Struthio camelus: one gene and its partners. The protein of the gene in region 1 interacts with the protein of each later gene in a biochemical or structural test. Links are inferred from orthologs where the notes say so. Each region holds a gene or a part of one and is shown in the gene's direction. Other genes may lie near its edges. The genes, in order: PBX1, PKNOX1 and HOXB1.

Region 1 (7,415 bases):
CATGCAATCTATACACAATCCATCTCCAGGCATTCAGATTTTGGACAGTAGAGTAAAATATTCTGTGGAACTCGGCCTCCCTTCACCAAAATGAAAACGTGTAGGGAGCCGCAGGCCGGGGGACTTGCTCCCGTTCCGTCACGACGCGAGCGCTCAGGGGCCATGACTGCACGCTTGGGATGAGTGACGCAAGCCTATGAGAAGACGCTCATGGACATTCAGAGAAACAGCGCGTTTGGCCTTCGTTTTCGAGGGCTTCGCTTTGCCACAGTAATGATGCGTTAAAAACAGCTTGATTTTCATTTAATAAATAATAGGAATGACGCTAAGAAGGAGCCAAGATTTTAAATAAGGGACTCCCATAAACATTTTCTTCAGGAATCTGTGATCAACCAAAGATAGCGTTAGACGTACTTACAGGGAGTGGGGAAGACAGACTTGGAATCCGTCCATCTGCTTCACCATTGAAACAAACCACTTTATAATAACCACAGAGGAAAGGAAGCGATGCAGCTTGGCGTATACACTTATACTATGTGTGGTGGAAATGTTTATTCTTCATTTCAGAAAGATTTAGTGAGTGTAGAGATAATAGAGCATAGTGTTTGCTTGTATCGTGGGGAAGGAGGGGTGACAGTATTTGGGTTTTAAGGGAGTCCAGTGTCGGCTCCCATGGGGAACATTTTGGGTAATACCTATTGCAATCTCAGGCACTTGGAAGGCAGAAGGAGACAGAGGAATGAAACGTGCTTTTTCAGGAGAGGCGTTATAAAGGCCCAGGATTAGCTATCTCCAACAAGAAGGATTTTACAGACTCCAGTAGATAGCAGAGGCAGAGCCTTGGCCATTCCTGCCCTGCCCAATTGCTCCCCCAAGGGCCCCCTGCCGGAAAGCCTCCCTCGTGGTAGGACTCACCGCCTTCTGGGTCACTCTCCGTTTTCCATGGGAAACGCTGGGGGGCCACCCTGGACCCACAGACAGCTCATCTCCAGCACTTGCCCCCTTGCATGCCTCATACCCCACCACTGCTGGCTGACCTGTAGTGTCCTCCTGCTCCTGTCCTCTGGTATTGGCTTGATTAGCCAGAAGCATTGCATTGTGACTTGGGAAAGGGGGGAAGGACTTGTCTGTGGGGTCAGCAGGCCACCCTATCCCGTGGGCCCCGCCATCACTGGGGCATCGCTGCCTGTCCCTCCCCTCTACACCACTCCCTAGTCTGCAGTCCGTGTTCAGCTCAGCTGCAGCTCCTCTCCTTGGAGCTGCTCAAGATCAAATAGGAAAGACCCTGTCCTGACCTCTGGGGATGGGACAGTCCCTGCCAGATTTTTAGACAACACATGTCTAGACTTGGTGTGTGAGCAAGCGAGTGAAGAGATGACTAAGTGTCTGAAAGTTTGGAACTTCGGAGAGGAGTCCCTTGGCTGATGCGTTTTTCTTGGATTAAGTTCCATTTCCTGTGAAGCCATGTAGATAATGGATATTTTCTCCCATTTTTGGCCCTTTCAAAAAAAGTAAAAAATATATAGATATATTTTTGGGGTGAGAAAACAGAAACCTTTGAAAATTTTGGCAAATCAAGGGGAAAAAAAAGAACGTGTGTTAAGTGAAACATTTCACAGAGACAAAAATCAAAACATCTCACTTTGGCTTCAACCACTTTAAAACATTTTAATGGTTCAAAAGGAAATTTCAAAATGAAAAGTCATGTTTTGCTTAAAACATTGGAAAGTGTTTCATTAAAATAGAAGAGAGGAAGCAAAACTATTGCTTCTTTATTTATTTATTTATTTATTTTTCCTTTCCAATGAACTGGGTGGCTCTTTCCTCAGCCTGTGCTGCAATTAGGAACAGGGCATGGCCTTTCTTCCCTTGCGTTACAAAGGACCTGGAACTTAGAAACTCTCAGATCCGAGAAAGGGACAATCTGAAGAAATCATCCTCCAAGCAGGAAATGCTTGTGATCACCAAAACTACTTTCTATTTCTTAAAAATACAAGTTTGCAGGCAAGCCTTAGCTTCAGGCCATCCCTGGTCATCACTTGCCAATGCCTACAGAGGTCTTTTTGGCCAGGTGACAGTCTCAGATCCAGGGGAACACAGGAAGGGGCTGGAGAAGTCCTTTACTTCTTGAGTGCTGTGACACTGTAACCAACCCATGTAGATCTGAATGGCAGTCACCGTGGCCTTAGGACCTCTGCTAACTTCCCCTGCTCAGAGGGCGTACTGGTTGGGCAGAGCGCTGGCTCCAAAACAAGCTTGGGAGCAGTGGTGGTGGTTGTGGTAGTGGGTGTGTGGGTCCTGCTGGTGTTCAAGGGTAAGGGACATGGCAAATCGATGGGCTTGCTTCAAAGGGATGTGGCCTTTCCTGACCTTCCTCCTCCTCCCAGACGTCCCCCTGAAGGCCTATAAATCACAGAATCACAGAATCGTTGGGGTTGCAAGGGACCTCTGGAGATCAACTAGCCCAACCCCTCTGCTCATGAAAGGTCACCTCGAGCACATTGCATAGGATTGTGTCCAGATGGCTTTTGAATATCTCCAAATAAGCGATATGTGGGTGCCCTTTCTTCCCTGGACCTGAGTGGTGGATCATGGAAGAAGAGCAGAGGAAGAAGGTGAGGAGAAGCTGGATATCCCTTGCCTGGCCCAGCCACCCTCACCCCACTGCGTCCTGCTCCTCCAGCAAACGCCCACCTACTCCTGTCCTAGTTCTCACCCCTTGTCCCCATGTCCCTGCTCAGCCACTGAACGCCTACTCCTCCCACTATGGTTGGAGACAAGATGCCTGCGTGTGGGTTGAGGAAACATCTGACACCACCATCTTCTAGTCTGGTGGATCCCCAGGGGCTCCCTCTTCCATTTCTGGGTTTTGCTTGTCTGCCTCATCCCTCCCCAACCTTCTTTGGAAGGCCTTGGAGGAACTCCTCGGCATGTGAATATTTCCAGACAAATCAGGGCTCCTTCCTCCAAACCGTGCAAACCACAACCCCATTTCCTCCCGTGGAAGGAGAGCAAAGGGATCGATGACAAAACAGAGCCCCGGCAGAGATCTCCCGGCAACAAGCCTGGGGGCCACAAACCCACTGTGGTTTAACCGACAAACGTCCCCCTCCAGCCCCTCAACCTCTCCGTTAAGGGCAGTCCCCACCGCTCCCCGCACAGGACGCGGCACGGCCGGCCTGCGCGAGACGGGGTGCGCTGGTACAGCCGGCTCTCCGGAAAGGCCCCGCTCGTGGGGCTGTGCGGGAGCCCAGTCAGTGGAGGAGGAAGGAGAGAGAGAAGGCGCAGTGAAGAAATGCCGGCAGCGGAGGCCAGAGGGAAGGAGCCCGGCTGGCGCCTGGGGGGCAAAGGTGCGGCCTGGGGGCCGCAGCGCTGTGGGCTGAGGGCAGAGGCCCCGCGCCTCACCGGGCAGGGGTGGGGAAGGCAGAGGCGGCTGGCTGAGGGGAGACGGGGCCGAAGGGAGGCCGAGGAGGCGGGAAGGCCGGCGGAGGGGAAGCTGTGGGGCGGCGGAGGGGAGGCGAGGGGCTGAGGCCTCCTGGGGTGGGGGGGGGGAGCCGAGGCGGCGGCGGGGAGCCGTGGAGGCCGCTGAGGGGAGGCGCAGGGCCGCGGCGCCGCCGGCGGAGCCCGGCGGGCGGAGCGGCAGCAGCGGCCGGGGCCGCTTTAAGGCGCGGGCGGGGCGCGGCCCCGGCCCACCTCTGAACCCGGAGATTGACGGGCGGGCGCGGCGGGGGCGGCGCGGCCGTGGCGGGGCCGCCCTTCCCGCCGCCGCCGCCAATGGCGCCGGGGGGGCGGGGAGCCGCGGCGGCAGCGGCGGTGGCCCCGGCCTTCCTTCCCCCCCCGCCCCCCGCCTCCCTTCCTGCTCCTCGGGCTCCTCCGTGCCAGTTTGAGGAGTCCGGAGCTGAACAAAAGCAGGCGGCGAGCACCGGAGGGGAGGGAGGGAGGGAGGGGGGAGCCGGTGCGCGCAGGCCCGGGGCGGAGGGGAGGCCCCGCTGGCGGGCGCGGAGCGGAGCCGAGGAGAGGAGCGAGCCTCGAGCCCGGTTCGGCCCGGCCGCAGGGTTGGGGTGGGCGGGCGGGGGGGCGGGGGAGGGAAAGTTTGGAGCCCTCCCCCGGTGCGCGCTGCCTGCCCGGCTCGGCGGCGCTCGGGCCCCGGGCGCTCGGCGCTGCCATCGCGGCGGCCGCTCCGCTCCGCCCCGCCGCCGCCGCGGCCCGGCTGCCGCTGCCCCCCCCGGCCCGGCCCGGCGCCGCCTGCCCGGCCGCCCCCCGGCCGCCGCTGCCGGGCGGCAGGGCTGAGCTGCCCTGCTTTTGGAGTCGCCGCCGTTTCCCCTCCCTTCCCCGGAACCCCCTCCCTCTCTCCCTCCCTTCATCCCTCCCTCCCTCCCTCCCTCCTCCAGCAACCAAAGGGATTTTTTTTCCCCCTTTCTTTTCTCTCTCTCGCTCCTCTCTTTTTTTTTTTTTTCTCCCATTTTTCCCTCCTCCTCTTCCTCCCCGCCGCGGAGCTGGAAGCCCAGCGTGAAGGATAAATAAAAAGCAAAGAGGAAGAGGCTGAGGAAGAAGCGAGGGGGGGGGGGCGGCGGTTGGGGGGGGAGAAGGAAGAGAAGGAAAGAAGAAGAAGAAGAAAGCGAGCAAGAAAAGAAAGCGAGCGCGGCGGCGGCGAGCCCCAGCCGCAGCCCCAGGCGCGCCGGGAGCCAGGCAGGGAGGCGGCCGAGGGGAGCCGGGGACTGGAAATGGATGACCAGCCGCGGCTGATGCACACGCACAGCGGGGTGGGGATGCCGGGCCACCCGGGCCTGTCCCAGCACATGCAGGATGGACCAGGCGGGGCGGAGGGGGAGGCCGGCAGGAAGCAGGACATCGGAGACATCTTACAGCAGATCATGACCATCACGGACCAGAGTTTGGACGAGGCGCAGGCCAGGTGAGAGCCGCCGGGGGGGGGGGGGGGGGGCAGCGCGCCCTGCCCGCGGGGGCAGGTGCCGGGGCGGCGGCGGCGGCGGCGGGGAAGTTTCCCGGGGGCCGCCCGGGGCCGGGGCCGCCGCCGCCTTTTGTGCGCCCTGCGCGGCCCCCGGCGCCGTCTTTGTTGTCCTGCGGAGGAGCCGCGGCGGCTCCCGGCAGGACGGACAGGCCGGGCTGGAGGGCGCGGGGGGGGGGGGGGGGGGACGACGACTTATTTTTCCAGAAATTGGCCACTTGGGAGGGAGGGAAAGGAAAGGAGGGCTTTTCTTTCTTTTTTTTTTTTTCCTTTCTTTTCTCCCCCCCCCCCCCCCCCAACTTTGGGCCAGTTTCCTGCGGGTTTGCAGCTCGCCGGCTCCGCGGGGGCGGAAAACCGTGCTGGGCTTGCGGGGAGACCGATGTGTTTTGAACGCCGCCGAAAAACGCGTGAAGTGCTGTTCCATCTTTGGACGCGGTTTTTCTTTTTCTTTCTTTCTTTCTTTTTTTTTTTTTTTCCTTTCCCAACCATGCTCGTTTGGGGCCCCGCGTTGTTATTTTTAAGGCCGTGTTTTTATGCTCGGAGGACGTACGTAGAGGCTTTAAAAAAAAAAAAAAAAAAAGGCAGAGGCGTTTAAGGAAGAAAGGCTGCAAAAGCCGGCACCCGAACCGCCCGTGGCTTCAAGGAGCGCAAGCCTGACGCGCACCTTCAAAGGCGCTAGCCAAAGTTAGGGGTGGGGGGGGGCAAAAAAAAAAAATCCCCAAACTGAGGACATAGTTCCAAAAAAAAAAAAAAAAAGTTGCCCCAAATGCTCTGGGGTGCATTGGGATTTTCTTCTGCGCTGCCGAGCGGTGAGGTGTGGTGTCGTTCCCCCTGGCATTTATGCTCCGAACTGGAACAGATTGCTAGAATACATTGTTCCTGGAAAAACGCACCGTGCAGCCCGCTCAACTCCCTTTGCGAGAACTTCCAGAGGGCTGGAAGCAGCCCCCAGACCTCTGTTTACATCACGTCTCCCTGCCTTCCCGCCTGGTGCGCAGCTCCCGGCTCCCGAAAACGGTGCTCATGGGGATGAGCTTACTAATTCTTGTGTGTTCTTGCAGGGACAGAGTAGCTCTTAGGAGGAGGAGGAAATACTGCGCTCTCTCCCTGGTCAGCCTGGGGGAAGCGAGGGCTCTTTCTCCTGAAAGTGCCAGGAATTTTGTGTGTTCCTGCGTGAGTAATTTAGTGCAGTTAATCAAATCAGTAAAACCAGTCCAGAACAGATCTAGAAGAAGGCTTTATGATTTTGCTTTGCTGGACTATTTCAGCTGCTTCCTCCACACTTTTGTTTTTGAGCTGCCAAACGCGCAGTATTTATCAGTGATGTTTGGCTTTACGTTTCCTGCATCCATCCCTCTATCGCACGGTGGTTTTGCTGCCTTTTTTTTTTTTTTTTTTTTTTTGCTGGTGAAGTTTTGGGAAGATGCAAAGTGCCGGTATTAATTGTAAGAGGGCCCCTAAAGCTTATGTACGTGATTTGTTTATACCCAAGTGTCTGTGCCCATCTGGGTGTGCTGATAAGGAGACACTGTGGTTCCACCAGGGTATATACCTTTGAGAGGCTTCACTGTGCACATATAAATCTCTTTAACATGTTGTGGGGTAAGTAGTGTGAATGTTTGCCAGATGTTCACATCGTCTTCACATGTAATTTTGGTTGGTAAACAGAATTGCCGTAAGTGGCGCCTGATAGGAGCAGCCCTTTATACAGCTAGACCCTCTGCAAAATGATCGTATGGCTTAAAAAAAAAAAAAAAGATGCTGTTTCTTTGCCTCAGCAGGCACATGGTGGGTTTCAAAACGATCAGATTAAAACCCTCCCCTTTCCCCCCTGCAGCTCCCTTCTTTCCTCGAAACCCACGGAAGAACGGCCAGCTCCTAAATAACATCCACCGAAAGCAAGAGACATTGAGTCGGACTGTCCCCTTCCCCAGAAGCATCTGGCTGCGTTGTTAAACGTGCTTGGTGTCCCAGTTGTAAAGAATTAAATTTTAACACCTGCCCCTAAGCTGGGTGCCTGCGAGAGGTGTAGCACGAGCGCGGGGAAATGCAGCTCTTCCTCCAGACGCGCGTGTGCCTGTGGCTGTGCGTTTCCGTCCTCCGAGCTGGGCGCTGAAATTCCCAGAATTGACAGCTCTAATCAGGGGCTGTTTCCAGCCCTGTGAAAAGGGGGGGCATCCCCCCCCCCCCGCCTTGCAGATGAACTGAAGGAAGCACATGGCCGAATTTAATATCGGAGGTGGGAGACGGAGGGAGCCCTCTCCGTGCGTGCCCGTGTTCGAACAAGCGAGTCAAACCAAGCTCGGCTTCCCAAAGCCCCCGGCTTTGGCTCGGCGCGTAGCCCGCCTTGGACCGCGAGGCTCTGCAAGCCCCTTGGTGGCAAATGCTGTTTTCAGGCCGTTTCTGAATTGGCACAATTCCTCTGTTCCCCGCGAGGCAGGCGGCC
Region 2 (7,429 bases), on another chromosome or scaffold:
CCTTTTTTTGCAGTAGATTAAATGCAGGTGAATGTTACATTATGCATATAGTTTTAAAATTTAGAACTTGGAGATTGCTAAAGGATGTCATAGAAACTCTAACTCATCTAGCAATTGTATGTATGAACTAGTTTTGCCCTCTAAGACATTCATGCAATCCTTCTATCAGTAAATTGCAACTGAATGTGTATTTCAGAGAACAGATTTGGAAGAGTGGCTTTTCTCATTTGGTGAGACAGGACTTTAATAGCTTAGTGTTTGCAAATACTTGATCCAACTGTGAGGTATTCTATTATGTATTTGGGACTGTTGTAGTAGCCAAGTAAGGCCCTGACCCTGCAAACATATCTGTGCATGCTTTATATAATGAGCTGTACTTAATGAGGATATTTCATATGTTCAATGTGAATAATGTAACAGGAATTTGAGAATCTGAGTATTTTATTATTTGCAGTTGCAAACCTAAATATTACTGAACCTCATTTTTGAAGTACTTGCAATTCACAATTGTAAAGTATTAAGCAGGCATTTCATTCACCTTTCCGTGCAGTTTTGGGGAGCTTTTTTTAGAAAAAAAGCAGCTATCTCATCACTGCCTCTTAAGTGAGTACACCTATATCAACGGAAACTGATAGTGTAAAACTGTATCAGTTGTGTAATAATCTTTACAAAATGTGTAATGTGGAGAATTCCCTCCTGTTAGCTGTCTTCAGTCCTCTGTTGTAAGGATCTGTTGTACTGGACACTGATCCTTTCGCAGAACTGATGCGGGGCAACACAATGTGTTCGGACAGTTGGAAACAGAAGGGTGTACCTATCTTTTCCTCTGATCATTTTTGTTTGCCTATTTTCCTTTGTACGATTTTTCTCATTTACTTCTTCATTCTTTTTTCCTGCTCCTCTCCGCCCAGTTCTTTCTATTTTCTGAGCGCTGCAAGCTTCTCACAAAAGCCTTGTAACTTTTGGTGCTTTTCTTAAATCTTTATCTCCTGGAGTCATTTCAGCCATCATATTTTTTAAAAGCAAGCTTCTTAGCTTTCAAGCCTGCAGAGGATGTATCAGGGAGAGCTGAAAATAAAATGAGAAACAAGGAACTCTTGACAGTGGTTATGTACACTGCATTCAGTGAATTTAGAGATGGGCAGCTGGAAGGCACAAGTTGGATCAAGGGTGATTTTTACGTTGCTTTTCTAAGGGAACAAGGCGTATGTGGTCATGTCATGTAGGGTATACCATGGGATTTAATCACATTTGAACCTAGTGACTTACTTCAGTACCATAGGAGAGAGGATTAAAATTTTCAAAAATAATTTAGTTCCTATAACTTTCATGAAACCTAGTCAGGTAGGGAAGAGGCATCATGCACTCCCTGAATGATGGAACACGCATGAGCTTTTAGGCAACAGAGAGTTCACTGACTGAACAGACCCCTTATGGATACCAAAACTTCAGAAGAAGTTTCAGTCAAAGCTTGCACCTCCTTAGACCCCCAAGTTAATCAACCATGAGCCACAACTCAGTAGGAAGCTAGGATTTCTTAATCCCAGTGCTTGGGAATCACATGCTTTAAGACTGAGGAAGCTAGAACATATTTATATTACGAAGAGAGTAAAAGACGGAGGAGAAAAAGGATGGAAATTAGCTTAATTTCAAAGCAGACCAAGAAGCGGGATTACTCGGGCAAGGGGAAGGCAGCAGAGGAGAAATTTCTGCCCCTGTTGGAAGGGAAGGAGTTGAGGAAGAGAAAGTGACAGGAAACAAAGAAGGAAAATCAAAACTAAGCAAAGGAGAAAGAAAAATTCAAGTTGGGAAAGGCATCCAGAAAGGCTGTGAGGATAACTGGGAGAAGGGATTGAACAGGAACTAAATTAGTTTGAATTTAAGCTGTTCTTTTTCAGAGAAAATCACTGAACTCCTGTCCAAAGAAGTGCAGGCAAGGCAGAAGGAGAACAAAGGGTTTGCGAGGTGAATCAAATCTGAGGAAGAGGCAGGTCTGGGCATGGGAACCAGTTAATTTGAAGAACTGTTTAGTGAATGTGTCATTAACGAATGTGTCAGAGATAATGAGAGAAGAAAGTGGTGGTAGAAGAAGTCTGCTTGACCACAGGAATTCTATTAGAGATGTTATATAGTGCGAGAGCAGAAACAGAATCTTGTGAGCAAGACAAACTAAGAGTTGTATTATTTTTTTAAATCTTGGGTTTATTCTTTTAAGTTATGCACAGGAACTTGCAGATCTGATTCACACATTTGAACACTTTGGACTGGCACAGTTCATTCTCTTTCCTAGTCTCCCTGCAAGATGTGCAAGTTTTCTTCATGTTCACAAGCCTTGTATCCATGTGGTTCTGACTGTATGGGGAAAAATGGCTAGAAAATGAACTCCTGTAAAGGATCCAGGTGGTGCAGTGAGAGGATGAAAGGACTGTTTGTGACTGGAGAAATGGTGGCAGTGTGCACAGAGCAACTAGATTCCTGAAAACCCAGAGCCAGCTAAGCAGGGTCTTGACATAATGGTTACGCTCAGAGGACTGAAGACAGAGCTGGCTTGCAGGAACATTTATTTAGCTGGTTATATTAATTGCCTATTAGCCAGACCTTCTTTATTAATTGCCTATTAGCCAAATCTTCTTTAAGTGGCCTGGTGCTGCAAAGTGTTGTATAAAACAAAATGGAGGGCTTCCTACTGTTAAACCAACAGAAAAACATGGATGGATCTTCAAAAACGCAGGGCATATTCCAGTTTGTAGAGGTACAGGATAATCAGGTAGATTTCCAGCTACTATGCTGCAGAGGGGCTACAAAACCTGGAACAAACCCCATTTTTGTTTTGAGCTGCGTTTCCTAAGGAGATGAGACTTTCTGTGTATCAGTTCCTGCATGCCCAGGATAGCTTTGGCCCTCAAAGCCTGCTTGGCAGAGAGGGCGAGACTACTAAGATGTGAAGGTTCCTTCCAGTGTCATGAGAACGAGGAGCAAAGAGATCATCTCAGTGAACCCACTGAAAGATGTAAATGCAAGCCCTTTTACACACTACAGAATCTACAAGCAGGGAAGCTCTCTAAATGTCCCAGTGACAAAATCATACAGCCATGAGGCAAGTAACAAGTCACAAATCACACTCGCCTAATTCTCCTGTTCATCGTACTGCTTACTTAATAACAGTTTAGGTGAACACACTCAGTGGGGGTGAAAGGGGAAGGAAAGGCTACGGCAGAGTGCTGCTTTTTTTGCAAACAGAGAAAGGACACACAACTGCAGTACAAGAAAGAGATCTGTGACCAGCACCTTCTCCTTTACTATTTCCTGATGGCGGTCAGGACCACGGGCAGGATCCTGCGGTCCTGGGCATGTGCTGGCTCCGGAGGTGTAGGACGAAACATGGGAGCAGGTGGGAGGGCAGGAAGGAGCATGTTTTAGGATCCTAGCCGGTGCAAGGGATCTCTCAAGTCGCCAAGGCCAGGGCTGGGCTAACACGGGAGCCACGCAGGGCCATCCTTGCCCAAAGCAGACGGGACAAGGTCCCTCCGGGACCGCCTGGGCGCTCGCCCCGGCTAACAGACAGGTGCAGGACCTCTCTCCTCTGAATGCAAAACACTGGTTCTGCTAAATATCAGCTGGGATCGAGCATGTTCCTGCGCTCCCCGAGCGACGCCAGCTCTTGGCTTGGAGGCACCAACTGCTGCCCTGCCGCCAACCGCCAGCGCGGGGGAAAACCTCGCTCCTGGTCCCTAGACAAGGGCTCTGGCGCGGGTCTCCGAGGCTGTCCGGTCCGTGCCCGCGGAGCCGCCCGCCGGGGCGGCCGGGGGCTCCCCCTCACCCTGCGCCTCGCTCCCCGGGCTGGGCCCCCGGCCCCCCCCGCCGGCAGGGCGGCCTAAGGCCCGGGTGGCCGAGGCCGGGCACCACCGCACGCCGGCGGTGCGGGCCCACGCGCCACGGGCCCCGGGCTCCCCGCCCGTGTCCTTCCTTCCCCCCCCCCGCCCGGGGGCCAGCACTCCCCGCTCCGGGGGGGTAGGGGCACCCCCGCCGGGGGCCGGTGGGGCGCTGAGGGGGTGCTGCGGCCCGGGCCGGGGAGGCGGGCGGCAGGCGCTCCCCGCCACGGCTGTCGCCTCCCCAGCCTCCGCGCCACTTGGTCTCTACCTCCTCCCCCCTCTTCAAGAAGGTGGTTTCACCTCCCCCCCCCCAACCCCGGACCCGGGGGAGGGGCGTGGCAGGGCCCGCTCGGGATCCCCCGCCCCCTTCGTGCATATTCATGAGGTGTGAGCCCGGGCGCGCCGGCGTAGGGCGGTGGCGTGCGGCCGCCCCGCCCCGCCGCCACAGCGGGCGCCGCGGTGGGCGTGCCCCGCGCCGGCGCGTGCCCCGCCCCGCGCGGTGAATATTGATGAGGCGTGATGCGCGGCGTGGTGTCGTGTCGGGTGGCGCGGCCGGCGATTGGCCGAGTGCGTGTGTGCGCGGTGACGCGTGTCGCGGCGGTGCGGGTCCCGATTGCTGCAGCCGCTTGTCAGTGTGACGAAGATTGGCACCCAGGTAAGCGCTGTCACTCAAACCCGCTCCCAGCCAGCCAGCCAGCCATCCATCACGGCGCGCCCGCCGCCGCCGGCCGGCCGGGCCCAGGCGCACAACCAGACCGGGGATGGGGGGGTGGGGGGGAGGCCGAGCCCGGCACACGGAACAGCGGGGAGCGGGGGGGCACCCGCACTGTAACTAACCCAGAGGGGGGTTAGGGGCGGTGGCGGGCAGGCGCGGGAAGGGGAGGGAGGGAGGGAGGGGGGGGAGCGAGGAAATTTCTGGAACAGCCGCCGTCTAACCGTTGTCTTTGTGGGCGCGCGGGCGGGGGCGCGCACGCGCCGCGGGCCGGGCGCGGCGGGGAGCGCGCGCGGGCGGGCGGAGGGAGGGAGGGAGCCGCGGCGAGAGGGAGCGCCGAGAGCGAGACAGCTGTTGGGCGCCGCGCGGAGGGGCCGCGGCGGCGGGAAAGGGGGCGGGAAGGGGGCGACGGGAGGGGGGGCGGGGGAGCCGGCGCGATATTTAAAGGGCCAGCGGCGCTGCTCGGAGGCCTTCCCGTGGAGGGGGCGGGGGGGGGGGGGGTGCCCAGAGTAGGTGATGGTGGCAGCGGTGACTCCTCGCAGCCCTCTTTGCCCTCGTCTTCCCCCGTCTTCCCCCTCCGGCCCGCGGTTTAGCCAGGACCCCGCCGACCTGTCCCTGCCCTGAGGAGCCCAACGCAGCTCGCGAAGCCCTCGCCTGTGGGAGGGGGAATAAAGCCGTGGCGGCAGCTGCTGCCGTCGCCTCCCCTCCGCACCTGCCCCGGCCCCGGCGCGGGCGCGCAGCCATCGCCGCGGCCTGGACGGGTGCGGCCTGGGGGGGGGGGGCGCGGAGGGGGCTGCCAACGGCCGCTGCCGCGCGCGGACCCCATGCCCTGCGCAACGCACGCGGTCGCGGCCTCGGCCCCGGGGCGCCGGCGGGGCTGGGGCGGTGCACCCCTGCCCCGCGGTCGCGGGCGGCGCGGCCCCCTGGGAGAGCCGGTGCTGGCGCGTCTCTGGTTTTGCTTCCCCAACCCCCCCCCCCCCCCCCAAATTCATAGAAAGCAAATTATGATAGTGGTAGGCACTTGGGGCAGTGTGTGTGCAGTGTTAGCGTGAGGTGGTGGTTTCTTCTTCTGTTTTTTTTTTTTTTTTTAATTTTTGATATGACCTCATTGTTTCTTGGCTCTGTTGTGAGTAGAAGCTTCTTGACACCTAGACCGAGGCTTCCTGAGTGTTTACACAGCCGCAATTAGGAGCTGAAACTTGACATTGCCCAGAGGCCCCACTTATGATGTGTGTAAACAATAATAAATCAAGTACTGGTTTTATCCTGAAATATTGTCTCAATTAGCCACATGTCCTGGGTCTCCATGGAGGAGTCGATAGCATTCCCTCGTTCCCATAACACCAGCTGTATGGCCTAGAGTTCATCAATTAAAACTATAAGTGGTTAACACTTCTGTGTGATACTTCTCTGCCAAAGTTTATCTGTGTCTTGTTTAATATTTCTTTTTTTTTTTTTGTCCTAAATGGGAACATGCCATGTCATTTTAGAGACAACAGTATTCTTAGCTGCAGTTGGTGACCCCTTTTTTGTCAGTTATATCTAAGTAAATGACTAATGTCATTTTGGGAAGGATAATGAATCTCTACATCTGGTTAGATACCCTTATAAATTATTTTTTGCTATGCTATGAATTACTTGTTTGGCATAAGTAGTTGAGTGCTGTCCAGGCAAGATTAATTTTTGTCCTTGTCCCTATATGAAATAACCGTGTGTGTGTTCCGTTAAATATGACACTGAAATAGAGAGCATAGACCATATGTTCCGGTTTGCAGACGTTTAAGATCACTTGAGCCAGCATTTTGTGGAGAATAGGGGGAGGGTTTAGGAAGTTTTCATTCGTGTATGCTAAACCTCTCATCTGCTTAAAGACTTCTTTCTTAATCTTTACAAAATCATACCACTTTACGATGTGCCAGTTCATAATGCTGTTTATAACATTCTTCTGGGGAAAGAAAATGCTCTGCACAAATTTTTACCAGTGTTGTTTTCTTGATTAGGGGAACTGTTATGACTCTAGCTCAATAAATACATGTATCTCACTGTTGTCCACACTATGAATAGGCTCATAAGATCTTTCCCTTTCCTGCGTGGGATATAAACTGTCTACGATGTGCCTATACCATAGTATTGCATTACCATAATTATGCATGTGTAGTTAAAGTGATGGAGCTTCTGGCCATAGGCAAGCACTGAGATCCTGTTTCAGAATAGATCCTGGTTAGTCCATGTTAGCTACATGTACACATTTTATGGATTATACTGAAACAGGAAGCAAATTGTTGTGATCAGATCGGAAATCTTACTATGCGTTTGCAGAGTTTGTCATTACTGGAATATAAAGCAACAACAAATGTGTTTTGAGTGCATTTTCTAAATGGCTCCATAAAATAAATATAACGTTGCAGAATTATCCTTTCCTGAATCTATGCCTGGCCATGTAATTAAATTTAAATTTTCAAAAACTTTTGAGAAAAGAAACAAAAAATTCACATGTAGTCAGTCTGAAGGAGCAGTTGCACACTTTTAAGTCTCTTTTTTTAAATCTGTACAAATAAGTATATATTTTCATTGTAGACTGCTTTAGCTTTATGCATTTTCTTGTCATCTTACGATTAAAGTATCCACGTGAAAACTTCAGTGTAGATTTTGCGATGATTTCTTAACATAAGCTTCAATTGTGTGAATGGCTGGAGGCATAACTCCGTTTACTTCATTTGCAAGAGAAATGCAGTGTGGTTTAGAGAATATTACGCTGCACTGAGACTTGAAAGACTGATTTTATTCATTGTCATTGACCTGCTGAGTGATTTTTGGGAAGAGGAGGCATGCATTTTTTTTATCT
Region 3 (7,249 bases), on another chromosome or scaffold:
TCCACAGCCAAACACACATCCCAAGCGTCAGCAGTGCTACTTATAAATCACCCCGCGAGGAGCCAGAAGTGACATTTCGTACGCACGACACAACTTTCTCTGCAGAGAGTTATATTTAGCTCGAAAATGAAACATCGAAGACTCTGTCTGAGCGCTCTGGAGTCTTGGAAATGCTTAATTTTCGTCTGTGTCTCCTGCACAGAAAATTCTCCGGTCTGTCTTGGATGAAGATTTGCTACAAGAGGTGTTCCCACAAAGCATCTTCCGAGGGGCCTTATCCTACATGTCAAGAAAGTTGTTTCTGGGCAAACAAGCCATCTCTTAGGAAAGGGCGAAAGCTCTCCTTGCCCTCCCCCCAGCCTGCTGCAGCACCGAGTTTCATGGGTCTATTTTTTGTCTCTAAAAGGGAGGATCCACTCTCAGCAAAATGTTTACTTCAAAAAGATGTCTTCAACGGGACTGGAGAGAATAAAGGCGTGGTTTTCTCTAGAGAACCAAAAGCAGTATCCCTGCTAATTTAATAGTGAGAGGGAGTGGGTGCTTTCATCATGGGAAATGCATTAGATGAATGACGGCTGATGAAATGCCTAGGTTTCGTTACGGCACATGTTGGGCCGCCCCTGCTTCGGGGTAGACGGAGCTGCCGAGGCGCATGGGTGTGTTTCGGGCAGAAGGCGCGCTCCCGCCAGCACCAGCTCCGCAGTGCCGGCAGCCGGGCGGAAAAACCGCTTATTCCGCTGGTCACCTCCTCATTCCTATCCGCTCGTCACATAAAGTCTGGGTTTTAGGCCAATAACTCCTGAAGTGCATTAGGCCTGCAGTCCTGCATTACCTCATGGGGAATAGGAAACCAAGCTCAGGAAAGCAGCTCTTTTCTGGGGAGGGCTAGACACTTAACGCCATGCAAGAAATCTGACCCAGCAAGCAACAAAGTGACTTCCTCTTCCTCTCATTGACCAACCTACTACTCTCCTGGCCAGCACAGATTCTTTTCCCAGGAACCAAGAGCTAAAAATTCCCCGCTCCTCTTTATCTTCAGCCATCTCCGTATATTCTATTTTAATCTCGTTGAGTGAAAGAGAGCATCATCCCCCAAACGGCGCCTTTTGTGCTTTAGGGGGTAGGAACAATTACTGCCGCCACTGTTTCCCACAATAAATAAGTGAAAATTAAGCAATAAATATAATGAAAGGGTAATGGCTAATTAAATATATTCGGGGGGAGGAGAAGGGAAGGACAGAGGTCTGTGAAGCTGAGAGTCTCCACTTACACCTTTTCTTATGTTATTTTGATCACCTCCTCTCTCAACTGGCCGTAATGGGTGTTTTAAAGAAATAAATATGTAAATAATAGAACTAGGTTCACCAGGAGATTGGTTACCAATAATCTGATATTTCCTTTTCCTGCAAGTTCTGAAGCTCTGTACCGAAAATGGGTCTCACATCGCCTCCACGAGAGGAATTAAAAACAATAATAATAACAGCAGCAGTTTTATATTGGATCAAAGGAAAGGAGCTAAGAACAAAATTTGGAAAAACGATTCCCAAGGGCAGCCTGCATGCACTTTGACGCTGGGGCTTTTGAAAATACGGCGAAGCAGCCACAGGTCATGCACCACTTCTGGGAGAGCAGCCGGGCGCTGAGCGCTATTGGGGCCGAACGACGGGCGCCTCCGCCTGCTTCGCCGGGACGACTCGGTAGCCCCGGGCGCGGAGCTGTGGCCAGCGGCCGCCGGTAGCCTCCGGGCCGGGGCGCTCCGCGGAGACTCCGAGATGCCGGTTTGGCCCCCGGCATCTCCCCGCCCCGCGCAAGGCAGAGTCGGGGCGCGGGGGGAGCCAGCACCTTTCATTTGTCATTCCTTCTCCCTTCCCCCCCTCCTCCCGGATACGTGCCCAGGTCTTTTGCTGCCTTGGCTGCCGCCAGCAGGTAAGGAATGAGGGGCCTTGCCCGGCCGAGTGGAGCAGATGGCAAACGGCCACCAGTGCCAGGGCAGCACTGGCAACGCAGCGTCCCCTTGCTGGGAGAAAATCAGCTCACAGCCCGTCTTTCGTGATTAGGTACCTCCAAAGAGGCTCCTCCAGCCTCTGCCAAAGTCCCTTCACCTCCACGCCTGTCTGTCCTACCAGCATCTTCACTTTCATGTACTCGTCTCACCAATACCTTCACTTTCCCCGAATAAGCTAGGATTTGGAGTAGTTCCCAGGAGTCCAAGGACCATATGTCATCCTCCACTCAGGTCCGAGTATTTGGTGTATTTCATGGCTAGCATTTTGACTGCATCCTGTCTGATTTGTCTGGCCACCAAAGAAACTCTGCTTTCATGCCAAAACTGCCTCAGGTCTAAGGTTTGGCTTAGGCTTCACTGAGGGAAGTTTCATAGCAAAACTTTTGCCTCCATAACTGCAGTAGTGAGCTCTCTTGGAGCTAATTTTGAAACTCCAGAAGACAGCTGTATTTTAATGACATAAAGCATCCCCTTAATGTAACACTAGAGTGAGATCATGGTGGAAAATTATCAGACAATACGAAACAATTGGTTCAAGGCTGAAATAAACATCTATCCTTTTCTTTTTTCATTTTAAATCCATAAATCATCTATTGTAAGCATCGTTTAAATATACTACATTCAATTTAAACGTGAACGCAACATAGTATAAAAAGCACTCCTGGAATCAAATTAGAAACCAATTTCTCTTACAACATGATAGTTGACTTGAATCTTTATAATCGCTTTCGGTTGTTTTATGCAGAAAAGGTTGTAGTGAGTTTCAGAGAGCATTTGTAACCTCAAATATTTGCTTCTTGAATATTTCAGCATCAGCAGAGTTTACAGAATAAATGAATAAATAGCCATGCAGCATTGGCAATAACTTTCTCTTTATTCTTTGTATTGAAGGAAAAGAAATGTAGCTGGCTAAAACTCACTTTTTCTCTCGAAGGGATTTAAAGGCTGGAGGAGGGTTAATGCCACGGCTGCATGGATTGCATTTTTTTAAACAAATGTTACCCCAACGTGTTGCATCAGCCAAACTCCTGAACTAGAGAATATGTTTATGCCTTTCAAAGTGAACTTTTGGCCTGAAAAAAGAAACCCTCCTGGTTCTTCTTAAAGGCTGAATAACCAGTAAATATTCTGACAAGTAACAAATGACTGTGGGCGTCATATTGTTGGGTGCTCTTGTCTCCCCTCTGCTAACAAGTAAATAAATGTTGCCTACCTATGTTTCCATTCTAAGAGCAGCGGAGTGGCCAGCCTGAAGTCAGTGTCTTTCCACCTACTCATCAGCTGGACTCTGCTAGAGGAAAATTACAGTCTTACAATAGATTCAGGAAAAGATCAAACCAAATTTGTAACTGAAAAGCAGAGCTTAAGGTCCGAGCATTAGTCAAAGCCCTTAAAAACATCTATTGTTTTCAATAATAAATACATAGATAGGTAGGCACATGGATGAGTGGATGGATAAACAGACATATGAGTTGACAGACACATAGATAATTTTTAGTTCCATTCCTCCTATTACTAAGCTGTGCATGGTATTTCTCCAACAAAAGACGTTCTGTCTTCCTAACTTTATTTCATTGCCTCATTAGAATATTGATTTAATTACATTGCTTTTACCCACACTGGCTCTAGACACAAAGCCGGTGTGGCAAAATTAAAACATATGGAGCATTTTTTTTAATTAGGAGCTTCTTGTAGACTTCTTAGCCCAGAAAACTCCAAACATTTTCAAGCCACTTTTCAGGGAAAGTTTCCAAATGAAGAAAAGGGCATCTTTTTGTAGTTGGGGAAAAAAACCCATCTCCCTATGTCTTTCTCTGTCTTTTATTTATTTATTTATTTTCAGATGGAGCTAGGATTGGGGGAAAAACCTTTTTAAGTTGGGGGAAGGGGAAGTTCTGATGAAATTGGTTGCTCGTATAACTTGGGGGCTTCTTTAGCACTTAAAACAGTCGTGGATAATTGTAATTCTTCCCCTAGTCCCCTCTTCCCTTCCACCTCCCCGCACCCCACCTCCCTTCTCTCTTTTAAAGTCTTTGAGGAAAGATTTTGACGTATTCGTGTTGTTATCAGATTGATGGGCAGGGTTTGATTGAAACCCCTTTGTCATGCAAATGTCAGGGCCTTGATGGATGAGCTCAGATATCTGACAAACTTCAGGAGCTCCTCGCTCATTGGGCTCGGAGCGGACCACGTGGCCTCCGCCCCTGCCCCCAGCCCAAACCCTGCCGAAGGCTCCGGGCTTCGAGGGCTAGCGATGCATGGAAGGAAGTTTTACAGCTTTGACATACTATCTAAAGGTTGTAGGGCAGGCGGAATCCCCCCCAAAACAGGCTGACCCTCCTCCATCAGTGGCAGATGGACAATACTAGGATGAACTCCTTCTTAGAGTATGCAATTTGTAACCGTGGGACGGGCGCCTACCATCATTTAGAGCAGAGCTCCCCTTCCTTCCCCTCTTGCTCAGGTAGCCCTGCCAGTGACACTTTTAACGGAGACGGGCGCTTTGGCGTAGGAGGAAGCACGGCCGCGGCTGCCCTTCTCCCCCAGCAGAGCCCCAGCTACCACCCGCCCTCCTCCGGGCGCACCGTCCCCTTCGCGGGCGCTGCCCCAGCCTCCGGGTACCCAGCCCAGACCTGCAGCCCCGGCTACGGGCATCACCAGCTCTACCTCGGCCAGCAGGATGCGGATGGCGCGTACTTCCAAGCGCCGGGGTACTCCGCCAGCGCGGGATCCACCCTCAGCTCCCTAGCAGAGGGCTACTGCGGGGCGGTGGCTGCCGCTGGACAGTACCAGCAACAACACCTTTACGGGCAGGAACAGCCCGGCTATTTGCCCGCGGTTTACAGCAGTCTTTCGCCTTCTCTAAATGAGGACAAAGACCCTGCGTGCCCCTCTGAGCCATGCCCCAACTCCAGCGCCACGCTGACTTTCGACTGGATGAAAGTGAAGAGGAACCCGCCCAAAACAGGTGAGTCTGGCGAGCGCAGAGCTTTGCGAGGATGGGTCCCCTCCGGGGGAGGGAGAAGAAAGACAGGGGGGCAGCTGTGCAGCCTTGCTAGTAAAGGCTGCCTTCCCTGGGGCTGGTACTCAAGGCTCATCTTCCAGGGGAACATGGATTCATTCTCATTTAAACACCAGCTCAGCGCTGCAGAAAAGCCAGCTAGAGATATTCCAGACGCATCTGGTGGAGAGTCCCTGAACTCACTTCCCCATAGGCCCAATGCGATTTAAGCTCAGCTCGGAATAGGAAACGCTCCAGGCTTCCTGCTTCTTCCACAGTTGTGGCGTCCATCTCCCCCATTGTTCAACTTCCTTCTCTACTTTCTTCTTTAAATTTCAGTCTGCTCTCCTCCCCTCATCATCGCCCTCCCCTTCCAGTCCTTCCCACGCACGTTCAAGTTTCATGGCAGTTTGCAGGAAAAACGGGGGGACAGTTGCAAAGGAAGGGGGCAGCTTGGCAGAGCCTGGGACTATCTGTCCCTCGAGGTGATATCCCTGGGCTGGGAAGCCAAGGATAGCTCAGGCTCCGGGAGAAAGGACCAAGCTGCGGGTGGTAGAGGGACCAAATGCCCCGGAAACTGGGGGAGCGGGGGAGAGCCCGCTTAATCAGGCACCCACAGTGTCCCCGGCCCTAGGGAGGGAATTGCTTTGGCTGCTCTTACCCTGTTGATGTTTGCTTTTTAACAGCTAAAGTGTCGGAGTACGGACTGCTGGGCCAGCCCAACACCATCCGCACCAATTTCACCACCAAGCAGCTGACAGAGCTGGAGAAAGAGTTTCACTTTAACAAGTATCTCACCCGGGCCCGAAGGGTGGAGATCGCTGCTACCCTGGAGCTCAACGAAACCCAGGTGAAGATCTGGTTCCAGAACAGGCGGATGAAGCAGAAGAAGAGGGAAAAGGAAGGTCTAGCCCCGGTTGCTGCTTCCAGGTCTGCGAAGGAAGCAAACGAAGCATCGGATCAGTCCAACTGCACCTCACCTGAGGCTTCCCCCAGTTCGGTATCTTCCTGAAATACGTCCCTCCAGGGGCACAGCGATCAACTCGGGTCTGCTCTGGCGGGGCAGCTGCTCCTGGCAGCCCCGAACAGACGCACACGCACGAACACGCGCCTCCCATGCACAGCCCCGTCCACACACACGCACGAGCAGAGCGGGCACATCCACCCGCGCGGAAGCAGGATACACGTCCCCTCTGAGCAGTCCCTTTGGCTAGAGTCGTCTCCACACGTGCGATATTAATTCTCCTGCTTGCATTTCTCTCTCTTAATTTATAGACCCGCTGTAAAACACTGGACTCCAAAGGAGCAGCCGTGTCCTCATATATTCTTAGCAATAGCCATTTGTCTCAGGGATGTTTCTCCCTCTCCCTTTCCCTTCTCCTTCCCCAATAGGAACTGCACTTTCAACTACAGAAACTTTAAAACGAATTTAGTTCTCTCCTGTTTTTAAAATGTGCACAATGACTTTTGTCTGCAAGAATCCTACATTTGATGTATTTTGTCCTCCCTATGAGAGTGTAAAAAGTTTTGGGCATATTTTGTTTCTCTTTTATTTACTCTTTGTATATCTTGGAATGAGATCTGACATCCAAATGCTAGAGGCCTCTGGAAAGATACAAACAAATACAAGTCAAAAATGCAACTCCTCTTCTATCATTTTGCACTATTACTGCTTTACAGGGTTCTGCACACTCTTCGACTATGATTGTTACTAGTCCTGGGGGAGGGAGGGTTATGCTATCAGAGAAAACGAGATTAGGAGAAGGCTGACCTCGGGGTACTTTGGGCAACGGTCATTGTCGTACGAGGTGTGAATGTGCACGGGAACAAGGCTGCGGAGTGGTACCTCAGCTCTTGACTCCCTCAAGACACTGATGGACTGACTGGTATTTATGGTGTGTGTCGATAGCCTGAAGTCTTGAAACGAAGTAGCAGGGTTCCTTGTAAACCGCCCCCCCTCCTTTAGGCTTATTGAAGTCCGATAAAAACGTTATTGAACCATGATTAGTTGTTTCCCTTCCCTACGAGAAATTTTAGCGTAGAACGAAATGAAAATCACGGAAACTGTCGTTAAAAAGTGCTTCGAAGAGAAAAACGACATCGAGAAAAACTAGCGATTTCTTAATCGGATTCTCCCGTTTCGTCTCCGCTCCCTTTCCCGTGCTCTGTACTTTGAAATGAAACTACCTCAATCTAATAAAGTTTACTTTTTCCACATGCAAATCTTCTCAGCTCTGAGCTAA

Evidence for each region.
Region 2: the proteins of PBX1 (region 1) and PKNOX1 form a complex in vitro, tested with the Homo sapiens proteins (2 studies listed by BioGRID). The link is inferred for Struthio camelus from reciprocal best matches to the Homo sapiens genes PBX1 and PKNOX1.
Region 3: the proteins of PBX1 (region 1) and HOXB1 are reported together in a solved structure, tested with the Homo sapiens proteins (2 studies listed by BioGRID and IntAct, with this or other methods). The link is inferred for Struthio camelus from reciprocal best matches to the Homo sapiens genes PBX1 and HOXB1.

What each region holds. Positions count from the first base shown.
Region 1 is NC_090949.1:7,807,004-7,814,418, forward strand, and holds the start of PBX1 (pre-B-cell leukemia transcription factor 1), read left to right. Parts: upstream 1-4,385; 5' UTR 4,386-4,724; coding exon 4,725-4,915; intron 4,916-7,415. UniProt on the Homo sapiens protein: Transcription factor which binds the DNA sequence 5'-TGATTGAT-3' as part of a heterodimer with HOX proteins such as HOXA1, HOXA5, HOXB7 and HOXB8. Binds to the DNA sequence 5'-TGATTGAC-3' in complex with a nuclear factor which is not a class I HOX protein.
Region 2 is NC_090942.1:125,189,683-125,197,111, forward strand, and holds the start of PKNOX1 (homeobox protein PKNOX1), read left to right. Parts: upstream 1-4,383; 5' UTR 4,384-4,527; intron 4,528-5,682; exon of another isoform or gene 5,683-5,813; intron 5,814-7,429. UniProt on the Homo sapiens protein: Activates transcription in the presence of PBX1A and HOXA1.
Region 3 is NC_090966.1:5,489,064-5,496,312, forward strand, and holds HOXB1 (homeobox protein Hox-B1), read left to right. Parts: upstream 1-4,175; 5' UTR 4,176-4,360; coding exon 4,361-4,973; intron 4,974-5,692; coding exon 5,693-6,018; 3' UTR 6,019-7,226; downstream 7,227-7,249. UniProt on the Homo sapiens protein: Sequence-specific transcription factor which is part of a developmental regulatory system that provides cells with specific positional identities on the anterior-posterior axis. Acts on the anterior body structures.